Linked DNA regions of Mus musculus. The protein of the gene in region 1 binds, or shares a complex with, the protein of each later gene. Links are inferred from orthologs where the notes say so. Each region holds a gene or a part of one and is shown on either strand. Other genes may lie near its edges.

Evidence for each region.
Region 2: the proteins of S100b (region 1) and Capza1 are in contact, whole or in part, in an NMR structure (PDB 1MQ1), measured with the Homo sapiens proteins. The link is inferred for Mus musculus from reciprocal best matches to the Homo sapiens genes S100B and CAPZA1. Residues at the interface, in NP_006263.1 of Homo sapiens: Glu46, Glu47, Lys49, Val53, Lys56, Val57, Thr60, Phe77, Met80, Val81, Ala84, Cys85, Glu87; in NP_006126.1 of Homo sapiens: Thr265, Arg266, Ile269, Asp270, Trp271, Asn272, Lys273, Ile274, Leu275.

Annotation. Positions count from the first base shown.
Region 1 is NC_000076.6:76,250,409-76,258,757, reverse strand, and holds the start of S100b (protein S100-B), read right to left. Parts: upstream 4,923-8,349; 5' UTR 4,800-4,922; intron 1,732-4,799; 5' UTR 1,724-1,731; coding exon 1,586-1,723; intron 1-1,585. UniProt on the Homo sapiens protein: Small zinc- and- and calcium-binding protein that is highly expressed in astrocytes and constitutes one of the most abundant soluble proteins in brain.
Region 2 is NC_000069.6:104,838,956-104,846,805, forward strand, and holds part of Capza1 (F-actin-capping protein subunit alpha-1), read right to left. Parts: intron 6,027-7,850; coding exon 5,963-6,026; intron 3,758-5,962; coding exon 3,706-3,757; intron 1,937-3,705; coding exon 1,873-1,936; intron 1,034-1,872; coding exon 827-1,033; intron 1-826. UniProt on the Homo sapiens protein: F-actin-capping proteins bind in a Ca(2+)-independent manner to the fast growing ends of actin filaments (barbed end) thereby blocking the exchange of subunits at these ends.

The DNA of each region.
Region 1 (8,349 bases):
CTTCAAGTTGATTGTTCTCCAGTGCTCTTGTTGAACCAGGCCAGCAAACATGCACGGTACTTTGATATCGTACATGAGTTATCATTTATAGATGTGCCGTTACTGGCTAATTTTTTCCTGTTATAAAATCATAGGTGTAGCAAATATCTTAAACTGTTATCAACTGGGATTTCACTAAATGTGAAGAGCCTGACACGCCCACCTCACCCCTGTATAGTCCTCTTGGAAGATGAGATTCCGACTCTTCTGTTAAGTCAAAAGGCAGAGGGCATGGGACGACAACTGCCCCTGCATACAGAGTTCCTGTCGCCCGGTATCTGAGTGCCTGAGGAGTTAATCCCCAAGTCCCACTGGAAATTTTCTCCAGAAGCCCACAAGCCCGCTGCCTTCCTACACATCAATTAATTTGCCTGCATGGGAGAAAGGACAACCTCAGCCAGACATCCAGTCAGTCAGTATCAACATGCCCAGTTAACTTGGAGAGTGGTTTCCTGTTACCATGTGACATGGCTGTGCCACACCCAGGCTTGGCACTTGACCCAACGCTGACTGGTTTTCCTCTGTCTGTGTGGTTGGCTACTTCTGTGACCCAAGGGCGCTCTCTGTGACAGGACACATTCATTGTATGCCACCAGCGTTCCCATATCGTTCAAGGCGTGCTGTGAGCCTTGGTTTAGGGGACCAAGGGAGCACTGGGTGGCAGTTGGATCACAGTTCACCTCCACGGGAGCACTTGGTTTGTAGGCAGTAGAAACGCTAATAAACTGATTCAAGGGCAGAGGAGACAGTGGGTAAGGAAGTGAGTGTTTTCACTACCAGAATATTAACTGCCCAAAGACGAGCAGCTTGCCAGGAACTCTTCTGCAACTCCCTAAGTGGACTCCAAACTAAATTTAGGCCCTGATGTCATATGCTCTCGGGAGCCCTTCCTCCCCTCGGGCAAGTATTCACTCGTGGGCATGCTAGGTTGGGTGCTTTGTGAGTCCCTGTATCTCAAATATTGAATTATTGAGTGATCATTAAATGTTTATTTAATCTCTGATATTTCTTTGTAGGAAGTACCAGACAGCTAGACAAAGCGAAAAGATTTCTTCCCCTCCCCGAAACTTCTCATGCTTTGAAAAAAAAGTGTCTGTGTGTGTGTCTGTGTGTGTGTGAGTGTACATGCCTACGTACTCTCACACCATGGTACACACATGGAATTGGTCTTGCCGTGTAGATCCCAGCAGTCAAACTCAGCTCATCAGGCTTGGTGGCAGGTGCGTTTGCCTGCTAAGCGTTCTCACCGGCCTTGTTCTGTTTTAAGAGATGGCCCAGGCTGGCTTCCTGCTTCCACCTTTGAAGTACAAGGACTACAGATGCGTGCTGACGTATCCTAAGTGTCACTTGTGAGTGGCTTACAATTCTCTTCTGCTGCCCTCACCCATGGATCCTTAGATTCAAGGGATAGAAACAGCCCCTCTGAGCTCATACTCCAAGGGCTTAGCCATTCAAACTAATATCCAGAAGCAACCCAGGGTCTGGATACAGAGACAGGAGCAGACATAAGGACCATTTCTAGTGCAGCTCAGAGATGGTCTCTTACCTCCAGGAAGTGAGAGAGCTCGTTGTTGATAAGCTCCTTCAGTTCTGACTTCTTCAGCTTGTGCTTGTCACCCTCTCGCCCGGAGTACTGGTGGAAGACATCAATGAGGGCAACCATGGCCTTCTCCAGCTCGGACATCCCGGGAGCTGCAGAGGAAGGATACGTTTTCATGTTTTCTACCCTGTTCTTTGGAGAGCTTAATACGTTGTTCTCAGGCCTCAGCTCAGATGAGGGGTAGAGAGGCCTACCAGGGAGAGGCATCCTGGGATCCACGCTGACCAGGGTTCATCCTCTTTTGCCCAGGCCCACCCTGTCCCTTCTATGTCCCCATAGGCTACAGAGCGAAGTTTCCAAGACCATTGGTTTCTGGTTGGGTTTGGCCAATGAGAAACTAGCAAAGATGCTAATGCAAAGCATTAGGGAATGACTCCGGGTCTTCCTGGTGGCTATTCCCAATCCCAGAGGTCTCCAGGATATACCATCAGCTGATGGATTTAAGAAAGACACTAAGATGACTAGTAACAAGTAAATATCTACCTGTACACACGCACACACACACACACACACATCACTATCAGTGAACCATTTTTAAAATGCAGTAACAGCTTCCTCATACAGCAATAATATCAGGGGTTAGGAGGAAAAATGCAGGTACTTCCAAAAGATTCTGAGGAACAAGATTAAGAATGTTCTGGCTAGTTTTATATCAGCTTGGCACAAGCTAAAGCCCTTTCTCAGAGACAGGAACCTCAATTAAGAAAAACGCCCTCATAAGATCCAGCTATAGAGCATTTTCTTCAGTAGTGATCGATGAGGGAGGGCTGAGCCCATTGTGGGTGGTGCCATCCCTGGGCTGGTGGTCCTGGGTTCTATAAGAAAGCAGGCTGAGCAAGCCAGTAAGCAGCATCCCTCCATGGCCTCTGCATCACCAGCTCCTGCCCTCGGGATCCTGCCCTGCTTGAGTTCCTGTCCTGAATCCCTATGATGATGATCTGTGATGTGGACGCCAAAGCTGAATGGCCCTTCCTCCCCAACTTGCTTTTTGGTTATGGTGTTCATCTTAGTAATAAAAACCCTAACAAAGAGCTTATTTTCATTTGAATTAATATATTAGTTTAAGATGTATAAATAAAATATGAGTGAGGTTTTTTTGGGGGGGGATGGGGGACAAACCAAAAATATATATATAAAAAATAAAGACTGTAAAATTCCTGTACCAAGTTTTTGAAAACTACCAGTGAAGTGACCTTGCAGAAACACGTACTCCAAGGTCATATGGTTCTCCTGGCATCCTGACAGGGCGACGGAGGCCCAGCCCTGAGTTCTGTGCTTGCTTCATTGGCCTGGCCTCAGAGTACAGCAGCTTCTTTGTGAACAGGCATGCATGCCTGAGAGAAGCAAACAGCCTTTGCAGTGGGCACCTGATGCCACAGCCACAGCCCGGGGATTCAGGGAGGGCCGCTCGATTATCTGAGGAACTTCATTAACATTAAGCCATTAAGGGTGGCTCTGGGATCATTTTAGAAACCAGCCTCTTAGGCAGAGACATTTGGCAGCTCCTAGCCTCGAGTTCTGATCCTTAAACCAGAACCTGCACTGTCATAATTAAACAAAGGTTCAAAAGTCATTTCCATGTTGAACATGTTACATTTTAGAATACAACTTTCGTAGCTTTTTACATTTTTATTAAGGATCTCCCAAAAGAAACGAAGGTTTTCGCCCTGTATTGGCTCTCTGGTTCTTTGGTTTGTTCATGTTTTCCAAAGACACCTGAAGTACCTCATATAAGAAGAACAACCCAGATAGACAAAATGTAACATTCTCTCTTAGTCTCTTAACTTGAGTTTTTAGTTACTGTTGGTCTTTTAGCTAAAAGAAAATCCTATGTGTCTGGGTGTTTTGCCTACAGGTATGTCTCTGTAGCGTGCATGCCTGGTGCCCGCAGAGGCCAGAAGAAGGTGTTAGATCACTGGGAACTGGAATTACAGTCAGTAATTCCATGTGGATGCTGGACTGAACCATCTCAACAGCCCCGGTTACTGTTTTTGTTTGTCTTTTTTTTTTATGAAAGAAAATATGTTTAGTCCCATGGGGAGGGGAGGGAGGAGAGGGGAGGGAAGGACAGGCACAGAATTATCTGCCCTTTTTCCTTTTTAGATTGAGATGGGGGTCTCACTGTCCCCAGATTCTCTTCTAAATAATGATCTCCTTGTCTCTACTCTCCCAAGGGTTGGCTCATACCCAGCACAGTTATTGATTTAAAAAAAAAGTCTTCAGAGATTCTGTGTCATACTGATACTGCTCAAAGTCCTAACGGCTGGGGGAGGGAGAGCTAAATGATCTTTTTGTGGATAAGGACTAAGACTTAAAAGTAAATGGTGAAACACCATATCCCATAGGCAAAAAATAAATAAATAAATAAAAATTTATTTTTTCATGACTATATTAAAAATTCAAAAATCTCCCTATTCTTTCAACTAAGGAAGCATTGGTTTGTTGTCTGCCTTCTAAGACAAACGGATGAGTCTTTATAAAGAAACACAGGGCTGGAGCTTCTTGGGATGGCACTGCCTGTAAGGTGAGGGGTCCCCACAGAGACCACCCTTCCCCAGGAGGGATGACAGGAAAGTCAGGAGCCACCCCCAAACCTTCATCTCTCTGTCCCAATTCATAATGATTTGAAAAGTTTCAACTGCTTTGGATTTTTCTTTTTTGAGCAGTGTCTGGAGATGTAGCTCTTGGCGTTTCGAATAGGAAAACTGGAAAAGCTCACAGGGGTGCTCCAGGGACCCCGGGAAAAGTTGCCATGAAGAAAGGGGAGCTGCGGTTGGAGATTTGGGGTAACCCTATTCCAGGAAAGGAAATCCTTCCCTTAGGACTCAGAGAAGACGCACTGTGCGCCATCTCCAAAAACATCGGCAGTCATTCTGAAGTTCTAACTATGGCCTAAGGTTTCCCTGGTTTAATGAAAACAAAACCAAAGACAATCCCCCCGCTGTAACACAGACACTGCATAGTCAGTGTCAGCCGCAGTCACAAGGAAACAGTAAAGGCAGCCTAATCAGCAGCTCTGAAATGCCACCAAATGTCCCCAAAGGTCTCTTAAAAAAAAAAATTCTTAAAGCTCAGTTCCCATTCTATCCCTGTCACCCCTCACCCTCCGAGGAAAGAAAAAAGCAGGTTTTCTCTTGGGTCCTGTCAGTGGCTTTCTCACCTCCTGGTCACCTTTGCTGCTGGAGTCCTCTCTGGCTTCAGTGTCCGAGTAACAGGAGTGTAGACAGAACAGCTTCTTATTCTTCCTGCAGAGAGAACTGGGTGTGGGCTTGGCGCAGTCCACTGCAGGCTGAGGCTGCCAATGGGGGCCAAGGATAGGGAGGAGTTAGACACCCAGGCCTGCATACAGGGCCCCATTGAGTGGTACCCTGGGGATCCACTGGGCAGCCACAACTGGACTTGATCTAGAAAGAATACGGGTCTGTTGGGTAGGAAGTGTAGAGTCAGCTTCTCTGCACCTTTTAAATGTATTACATGAACATTGGCCCAGTTCCAAAGGCAAGGCTGGGGTTGGGAAGAGGAGAGAGACAACGTGGGTGAATTGATTTAAACAGCAAATCTGCAGCCAAGAACTGGAAACTTCTCATGCTGAGTGCTGGAGACTGTGTGGCCCTGACTGGCTTCTAAGGAGGCCTCTTGAACATCTTGCTTGTCTGCCAGCTTCCTGGTCCCCTCCTGCAGGTATGCCATGCTGGGGCTGGTGATGCTGGGTAGTGGTTACCCCCAGACTCCTCTTTGAGCCCAGTATTCTCAGGGACCAGCATGCAGTAAGTTAGTTACATACTTAGTACTTGTTGCACCTAGGGAAAGACCTGCCAGCTCTTGTCTTGGGGCTCTCTCTCCCTACCCTGGTCAAAGGTTATGAGTTGTCTGAGCCAGAAATGCCTGTCCTGTGCTGTGCTCTTTTTGCATAGGGAAGAAATGTTGCACCTCTTGTCAAGGCACAAAATGACCCCAGAAAGCAGTCTGTTCCTAACTGCCTATCTTCAGCAGCACTACACCTGAGCTTCAAATGGCATCAATTGTGCGCTCTTGCCCAGAAATGAGCAGTTGAGCTGGAGAGATGGCTCAGAGGTTAAGAGCATTGGCTGCTTTTCCAGAGGTCCTGAGTTCAATTCCCAGCAACCACATGGTGGCTCACAATCATCTATAATGAGGTCTGGTGCCCCCTTCTAGTGTAGAGGTGTACATGCAAGCAGAACACTGTATACATAATATCTTTTTAAAAATAAAAATAAAAAAAAGAAATCAGAAGTGAGCAGTCCTTTTGAATAATCACACAGAAGCAATGGCCCAAGCTGACCAAGCAAGAGAGGATAGCTTAGTCACACTTCCCTTTGCCCCTCGTGTTCCAAGTGTCTGTGGGAAGAGCTACATGACAAAAGACACCCAAATATCACAGAGACCAAGGGGTTGACTAGACATGTTAGGGCTCCAGTAAAGCTTCTCCACCTTGAGGAAAGGGGGCAGTGTCTCTTAGCTTTGGGGCAGAGGTATAAACTCCTACTCTGGTTCCTCCCTATTACAGGGGGCAACTCACCATTTATCTACATGAGATCAAAGCCACTGGTTCACAAAGATTAGGTCCCCTACTCTTCTTAGTCCCCAGTAGACAATAAAAGGGAGACTCAGGGAGACCATGATAATCATGACTGGGAAGGTTCCCTCACTTTGTGAGGTTGCTCAGGGTACTGGATGATCAAGGCATCTCTAACCCCTCTCTGGCCATTTTTCAGTCAGTTACACTGACTTTAAGGAGAGATCTTCAAACCCCTGTGTGTGTGTGTCTGTGTGTGTGTTGATCATCAAATCCCAGACAAGCCCCTGCAAATGGTACAGGAGTCTTGGGTGAGGAGTCTCTGGTTCCTGTGGAATAGACAAAGAATTCTACATCCTGGAAAGAAGACACACTCAGGAAAATGAAGTGACAGTTAGAGAGCAAGATGGGCCGCCGAGGTCTGGCAGCTGGAGACCTGAAGTAGGAGACATAAAAGCAGTCCCTACAGCCCAGTGAGAGTAGCCGAGATCCTCTGAGGCTCCTAGACAGAAATGAGGCAGGGACACCAACATGGCTGCCACTGGGAGGAAAGTAGAGATCCTAAGGGTCCCTGGCAGAAAATACCAGTACAGAGAATGTGGACAGCAGACAGAGTGAAAGTAAGTTACAGATTGTATCGATCGCCCTGGAACTGGCCTTAACATTTTATTATTTTTTCTTTCTTTACTTATTGTTTATATTTATTTAGGTGTTTTGAGACAGGGTTTTTCTGTGTGGCCTTGGCAGTCCAGGAACTCGCTTTGTAGACCAGGTTCATCTGGAACTCACAGAGATACACCCACCTCTGCTTCCCAAGCGCTGGGATTAAAGGTGCACTGCACTGCCACAGCCAAGCCACCCTTAACATTTTTTTTTAAAGTTAGTTTTTGGATAACTTTATAGTCTCAATCACCTAGAATGAAAGTATATCCAAATACTAAAGTCGTTGAGAATAGAAAACAGATAACAAACTGGGCTTTAAAAAAACCAAAACCAAAACAAAACAAAACAAAAATCCACAAATGTGTTGGAAAGATATAACTCAAAGAATAAAAGTCACAGTGTTTATAGAGAGCCTGATTTCAGATCCCAGAACCACATTGGGTGGCTCACAATCAATTATAACTATTGTTTCAGGGGATTCAGCTCCATAGGCAGTATACTTGTGTTCTTGCATACACACTCACACACCACAAACACACACACACACCACAGAAACACACAAACATACACCACACACACACCACACAAACACACACATACCACAACACCCCCCCCCACACACACACACATATACCAAAGACTTTCAAAAACTATACAAGAGCTCGGGTCTTACCTACAAAACAAAAAACAAAAACATTACACTTTAGAGTATGGGCTATTGACATCCCAGGTGGCTTCCGGTTATCTTAGCCTTCAGCCTCTCTAGCGCCTGCTTTTGGCATGACCTACTCAAATTGTTCTTTGTCCGCTTTTCTGTCCACCCCCTAGACCTGCTATCCATCTGTCTGTTGCTTTGTCTGGCCCTGGCCCTGCTCCTTTGCCTCTGCAGCGGGACTCAGGGCTGCACAATAGCAGTAGCTGTGCTTGCTCACCGATCTCCAGCGGGTTTTTATTTTACCCCTTAGAGACTTCATTTGTTTCCATTTCCTAGCTTTAGCTTTTTAGCAACTTAGGCCTCTTTGAAACATCTTTAACTCTTTGTAACCATTCTGTATCAGGTGTGTGTGTGTGTTGGAAAGATAGCTCAGTGAATAAACATTTGTAATGCTTATAGAGGACCTCATTTCAGTTCCCAGCACCTACATTGAGTGGCTCACAATCAGCTGTAACTCTAGTTCCAAGGGATGGTAGATAGTGTATGGTATATAATACAATCATACCTATATAAATGTATGTGTATATGATATAATCATATCTATATAAATGTGTGTATATGAATATATATTTATGGCATTATATGGAATATGTGATCGGACAGTTAATATTAGTTATTAAGGCTGAAATAGAAGAACCTGTGTTTGCCTCAGCCAAGGTTATCAAGGAAAACAAGAGTACCTGGCAAATTGCCGCACATGTAAATCAGAAGACACTGAGAGAGCTTACGATTGGGGTACCAGTGGCACTGAGGTAGATTCTCCTTCTGAGTTAGATATTTATCAGCATACTTATT
Region 2 (7,850 bases), on another chromosome or scaffold:
TTGGGGATACAGCTAAGCGGCAGAATATTTGCCTAGCATGTGCCAGTCTCTAGGTTCTGTCTTTACTTTAAAAAACAAAAACAAAAAAAAAAAACCCACAAACAAATAAACATCAAAAAACAAAAAACAAAAACAAAAAGCTAAAAACCCAGTAAGCTAAGCATGATACAATCAACTATAAATCCCACCACCCACTCCGCACTCTCAGTAGATGCCTCATAGTCCAGGCTACCCTCTAACTTTTGTAGAGTGGACAACAGCCTTGAACTCCTGATGCCCCTGCCCCTACTTTCCAAATGTTTTAAGATTACAAGTATATTATCAAACCTGGTTTTAATAACTTTTTGATGGGTAGAGGTGATTTATTGTGAGTAAATAAGAGAAATATAAAATGTAATATATGGATATTTTAAAGTGTTATACACTGAGATTTTAAAAACAAATTTTCTAGGGCTGGAGAAACTGCTCAGTAATTAGGAGCATATACTACTTTAGCAGAGGCCCTGGATTTAAACCCTGGAATCCATGTCAGGCGGCTTAAACATCTGTAAGTGCATGTTCAGGGAACAAATGTCTCTAACCTCCAGGGGCACCTGGGCTTACATGCAATCCCTCCCTCCACTCATACTTAATTAAAAAACAATAAAAGCAAATCTTTAAGAAAGAAATTTCAAAAATTTAGAAATTATTTAAGGAATAAAATAAGGAGATGACAATAACCAAGAGAAAAGAAGTAAAGTCTGGTGGGGCAAAGGTTCAAAAGGGTAAGGTAAGCGTAAGAAAAGTAACTTTAATCTGTTCTCCGAGGGACAGGCAGATACTTAACAGTACAGAAGCCGTTGGAATAATGATCTTTCACATAGGCTCTCAGAGCACTGTCACACGACTCCCTCCAAGACTTCAAGCCTCCATCCACATCCTCTGGCTGCGGGTCACTTGCTTCTTTCCGTAAATGATCAAACTTAAAGGAAATTTGGTTTCTTGGATCTAAAAATCTGCTGTTACCAAGGTCACCATGCTCTGTAATTAAGACCTTCCAGAGAAGAATTACAAATATAAGTAGTTCTATAAAAAAGACAATTCTTATGTTTTGCAAAAAGAAATAATATCCTAAGAAAATTAACTTTTAATTTCTTTTCCACAATGACTTTTAAAGCACGTATCATTTTTATTCTCATAAAAATAAAACAATGTTTTCTTCCTCCCAACAATACCCTTTATATCTTGATTTCTAGCTAATGTATTATCCATGTATATATATTTATACTAGCACACCAATTCTCATGTATTCATTTTTACATATTTTATAAAATTTTTCAGGGCCATTGTATTATTGTGAGCACTTAAGTAATACAGCTACATGGTCCAAAAATGTACTAAATGAAATCCTTTTCGTGTTCCTATCTCCTAAGCAGCAGATTCCTTGAGTAACTTAGGCTAATTCTAAATTAATGTCTCTGCTATTTTTGTTAGACTTCCTCTGCACTGCTCTGGAACCTACATGTCAAGTCAATGGCACTCTTTTTTCCTATGGGTTGGTGGTGGTGGGGAACCCACCTAATATTACCAGAAAGAAGATTTTTTTTTTTTTTTTTTTTTTTGGTTTTTCGAGACAGGGTTTCTTTGTGTAGTCCTGGCTGTCCTGGAACTCACTCTGTAGACCAGGCTGGCCTCGAGCTCAGAAATCTGCCTGCCTCTGCCTCCCAAGTGCTGGGATTAAAGGCATGCGCCACCATGCCCGGCTAAGAATTTTTAAATATGTAGACTATTTTAAAAATCAAAGACATAAATATATTAACAGCCAATTTCCTATCTGCTCTGGCTTTTACATCTCTACTACCCGGCACAGACCGTGGAACAGGCAGTCATTACCTGGTCATCGTAGCCTTCTATCTTCACGGGTGTGAACTGATCCATGTTATACTGGGCAAATGCACTAGTTAAAGAAAGAATTGAAAAAGTCAATAGTATCTCTACTTTAGCAGCTACTTTAATCCAAACACTTTGAAGCCATCCTTAACTGTTCTTTCTGACACTTTATCTCCAACCCACAGGTCTAAGAGAAGTGTGACCAGAATCTTACTCCCCAGGCTCGCTTCTCCTCTGAACTATCACTGCCTTGCCTCACTGCAGCCTCTGCCCACTTACAACGTTACTAGAACACATAGCTGGTAAGTAAGTATTCTAAACCCTAAGTCTTACCACATCATTCTCTATTTCACTTACCAATGTCATCTCATTCAAAATGAAACTCACGCTTTAATGTGACATTTAACATCCTACCTATACTACAAGTGCTAGGCACTATCAGGGAATGGTACTGTGGTTAGAACCACTGGCTCCAAAATACAAAAAAGAAAGTAAATCCTAGGCCGATCTAGTGTATTATCTTTACCCAGCTACAATAAAGCCTCCTTCTGCTTATACAGGAAGCAATAAAGATGGCGAGCATCACTGAAACAGCATGTACTAGGCACCAACAAGAGTCTGGTCAAGAGCATTTCATTACAGAAATAAAAGTTAACTTTTCTTCCTCTCTTTTTTCTCCCCTTTCTCTAGTCCAGGCTTCTCTGTGCAACCTTGGTAGTTCTAGAACTCACTCTGTAGACCAGGCTGGCCTCAAACTCAGAGATCTGCCTGCCTCTGCCTCTCTAGTGCTGAGATTAAAGGTGTGCGCCACCACTGCCCAGATAAAAGAGAATTTTTTATTCCCATAAAAAAACTTAAATAATTGGACTCAGGAAAAAACAAAACAAACTTCTTTAATATGTAGGTTCTCTAAGAAATCTGCAAGACTTTGAACACATACACACACACACACACTCACATACACACATATACACTCACACACACACACTCACATACACACATATACACACACACTCTCACACACTCACATACACACTCTCTCTCACACACACTCACTCACATACACACATATACACTCACACACACACTCTCTCACACACACACACTCACATACATACACACACACTCACACACACACTCACATACATACACACAAACTCACACACACATACACTCACACACACATACACTCACACACACATACACTCACACACACACACTCACATACACACTCTCTCTCACACACACACACTCACATACACACATATACACTCACACATACACACTCTCTCACACACACACATACATACACACACTCTCACACACTCACACACACATACACACACACTCACATACACACACACACTCTCTCTCTCTCACACACACACACACACACACACACACACACACACACACACACACACACTCTCACACACACACAGAGCTTTAGTGTCTGTGGGTGTAATTAAAGCAGTCAAAGCATCTGAACTCTGTATTGGCGTAACCATTCCTAACTGGAAATCAGGACATTTGAGTTAGAGCAGCATTTTTCAACCTGTGGGTCATGATTATGAATTAATATGGCTATGGACTAAACACTGTTGACCATGGAGTAACAAACAAACAAACACATTCTTTTAAGAGTCTATTCCCTCAAATACATGGTCATAGCTGTAACAGAAAACCAGAGACTAATTGCTGTCTGTTACTGTCACCAGCTTACCCACTGTTAGAGGGATGAACGGGGCCGCTGGTCTGCAGTGCTGACCCACTGAGTACCTTGCCCAGGCTGGCCGAGCTCTCTGACACCCACCCGTGGATTTAGGAGGTACTTACTGTGCTGCCCCTTCCCTGAGGAGATTGTCATTGTTAAGCAGTAGCCGGACATCTGAGGAGGAAAGCATTGGAATACTGAGTACAGAACAAACTCAAGAAATTTTAGCCCATTTCTAGAATATGTTTTTAAAATTCAGGGCTTGCAAGATGAATCTTCAGTTATAATCTATGTGTGGAAACTCTAAACATAGCACTGAGTAATGGACAGCAGTGTTCAGAGGTTCCTACAGAATTGTCTGCTATAATAACCCAACAAAAATTCCCAAGGAAGTTATTCATCTCTCTTTCCTGCTCACCTTTCACTCCTTCTTAACAGGATCTCAAACTCAGGTTGGCTTGAAATTCCTTTATGTAGCAGCTACAAATGACCTTGATCACCATGCCCAGTTTATGCCATGGCAGGGACTAAATCTAGGGGTTCGTGTATGCTATGTAGGCCCTCTACCAACTGAGCTACATTAGGACATTTTTCTTAATTTGTCTGAGACAAGAGTCTCTGAGTTGGCCTCAAACTTACTTTGTAGCTAAGGCTAAGACAACTCTTTTTTTTTTTCCTTTCTTTCGTTTCAGGTTTCTCTTTCTTGGCTGTCCTGGAACTTGCTGTCTGGCCTAGGCTATGATGGAGCTCACAGAGATCCACCTGCTTCTGCTTCCTGAGCACTAGGATTAAAGACATGTGCCACCATGCCAAGCAGGGCTTTGAGTTTTCCATCCTCCTGCTTCCACCTCCCAAGTGCTGGGATTATGCGTATACACCACCATACCTGGCAGAGATAAACCATCTGAAAACCAAGATCTCTTTTTTTTTTTAGTTTTGAGACCAGGTTTCACTATGCAGTCTAGGTTTCCCTGAATTTGTAATCCTCCTGTACCAGCACCCAAGTGCTGGGATCACCACACCTCCCCAAGTAGTATACGGAAGAGATGGCAGTCTTGAAGGGATGGTAAAGGTCAGTTTGTAAATTGACTGATTTACTAAATTTACTGGCTTTTTCTGATTTTTGTTTTTTAAACAAAGGTTCATTCTATACCCTTGGCTGGTCTGAATGAGAGTAATCCTCCTGCTTCAGCCTCCTGGGTACTGAGATTACAGGCATGGGCCACCATTTCTGTGTGAATCTGAATTTGTTTGTTTTGTTTTCTGAGACAGGGTTTCTTTATGTAGCCTGGGATGTCCTGGAACTCTGTAGACCAGGCTGGCCTCAAATCCAGGGATCTGCCTGCCTCTGCCTCCCAAGCACTAGTATTAAAGATGTGTATCATCTGAACTTAATAAGCTTCATATACGATCTGAAGTTCAGCCACAATAGTCCTGGGAAATGTCCTCTGTATAGGACTTGAGGAAAGGCAGTGAAAATTGAAGCTTTTATCTTTCATGATAAAACTAAAAGGTACAGGAAGAATAAAAAAGTAATAAATTTGAAAAGTCAATTTATTGTCATTCCTTTAAAATATGAACTATATTAAATCTCTAGTCACTTTTTTTTTTTCCCGAGACAGGGTTTCTCTGTGTAGCCCTGGTTGTCCTGGAACTCACTCTGTAGACCAGGCTGGCCTCGAACTCAGAAATCCGCCTGCCTGTGCCTCTCAAGTGCTGGGATTAAAGGCGTGCACCACCACCGCCCGGCTTCTATTCACTTCTTTTTAGTTTTGAGACAACCTTTCGTCCAGGTTGTACTGGAGCTTGCAGCAATCTCCCTTCTTCAGCACCTCAGGGCTGTCCCAGGGTTGGAACTGTAGATGTGAGCCACAAGACAGCTATCGGAAGTCTTTGCTTATCTGAGAGCAATCTCCTAATTGATGGATTAGGCAAAGCTAAGTATTTGACCTAAACCTAGAACTGAATCTTAACTTTCACACTCAGCTGCTGAGTTGCCTTAAACAAATGATTTCAGTGTTTCTGAATGCCGATTTCTTTCGAAAAGGCTGTAAGAGGTAACGACCAGTGAAGAGTACGCACTCACTGCTAGCTGTGTTGGTGCACGCCTGTGCTCTAGCACTCAAGAGTTCAGTCTAGCCGGGCCTCAGAAGACCAACGTTTTGAAAGAGAAGAGCTGGTGAGCTACCTCGGAGCTTGCTGCTAGGCCTGAGGACCTGAGCTCAGCTCTCAGCACCCATGTGGGAGAACAAAGAACTGAGGCTCACAAGGTGCCCCCTCTCCTAAAAAAATGAAATAAAAATTTAAAAAGAAAAAAGGGAGAAAGCTAGATAGTGACAGTGATTAAGGAGTACTCACTCAATATTAATCTTTACTTACCATTGAATACTTCATTAAACTCCCCTGGGGGTGCATGGGTGATGAATTTAGCGGCTATGCGGACCTAAAGAAAAATAAAATTTATAGTATAATAAGTGTACTGTGAAGAGAAACATGCAGCTGTTTATTACAGTCGAGCATCATCTGATCCTAGCACTGAAAAGACAAGTAGATCTTGAGTTTAAGGTCAGCCTGGGCATATAGCAGGACTGTATCTACCTCCACCCCACAAAGAGAAGGCCAACAAGACAATTTTTTTAAAAGATTTTTGAAAATTTATTTTATACATATGAGTACACTGTCACTGTCTTCAGACACACCAGAAGAGGGCACCAGATCCCATTACAGATGGCTGTGAGCTACCATGAGGTTGCTGGGAATTGAACTCTGGAAGAGCAGTCACTGCTGTCAACCCCTGAGCCATTTCTCCATCCCCAAGACAATTTAAAAAGTAACATGTAAATGCAAATAACAAACCATTACAATGGCTTATCTTAATTTTTTCCCATTTCATTCCTATTTTATTTGTACATGCAGTGCCCAGGTGCCCAGAGGCCAGAACAGGATGTCATTTCTCCTGGAAGTGAAGTTATACAGCAGTGAGCTGCCACGTGGGTGCTGGGAATCAAATCCCAGTCCTCTAGACATGCAGCCAGTGCTCTTGACCAGAGCCATCTTTCCAACACCATTGTTTGTTTGAAAGACTTATTTATCTTTACTTATGTGTGTGCCCCTGTATTGTGCTGGTATCCAGAGGCCAGACGCAGGCATCTAATCCTTGGAACTGGAGTTGTGGGCAACTGTAAGTCACCCATAACCAGAAATCCATCTCTGAACCACTGCAAGAGCAGCAAAGACTCTTTCCTGGTGAGCCATCTCTACAGCCTTTTGTTCTTTTTAACATGATCTCATGTAGCTCAGGCTAGCTCAAACTTATTATATAACTGCTCTTGCCTACAATTCCCTCTACAAGAATTATTGGTGTGCACAGCCAGTTTTACGTGGTGCTGGGATATAACTCAAGGCTTTCTGCACACTAGTCAAATAATCTATCAACTGAGCTACATTCCCTGCGTACAATATCTCTTGAAAAAAAATACTTAAACTTTACTGTTTAGAAGCCTTTATATTTTTCCACAAAACATTTTGTTTTTATCAATTATAGGTATATCTTATAATATGCATGTTATCAGTCATTTTGAATTAAAAATAACATTTACTTTTAAATGTGTGTATTTTATGTCCAAGTGTCCAGGAGGCTGTTGGTCTGCGTTCTGCCTGCCTCAGGGCATGGCCACTTGGGAGGCAAAACTTGGGGAGTTTGATTGCAGTCCACAGGCCCAGGACTGGGGTGGGGGAGGGTGTGTGGTGTGTGTAAGTGCATCCCAAACTCCCTGATATCTAGGTGTCTGTGAGTCACAAGGAGTTGGGAGCAGGGTCTGGTGTGTGGGCTGGGGATGGTGTCTAACCTTGGTCTGGGTGGGGGTGGAGGTGGGGGTGGGAGGAAGCTCCAGCTTAGATCAGTGGTGATTGTCCTTAGCTTGGCTGTGGTTCTGGCTGGAAGCACAAAGAGGCCTTCTGCAGACCCCCATTATGCTCCCCATGGCCATTCTTATGAAAAAGACAGCCCAAGGCTCTACTGTTTATCTGATTGTTCATCATGGAAAATGGATGCATAGCTTATTACTGTACCAACTTCTCAGGGTGGACCTAGGATTAAATACCTGTTGCAGGGAAAGTTTATTGGCTAAACCCTCAGGGCCTCTAGGTACCTCATTAGCACGGATAACTCTGTTCTGGGCCTACTTGACCACAGGTCATGTTTCCTTCTGTGGGGAGTGTGGCATGTACGTGTTCCAGGCCAGGAATCTGGCAGGGAACGGGGTGT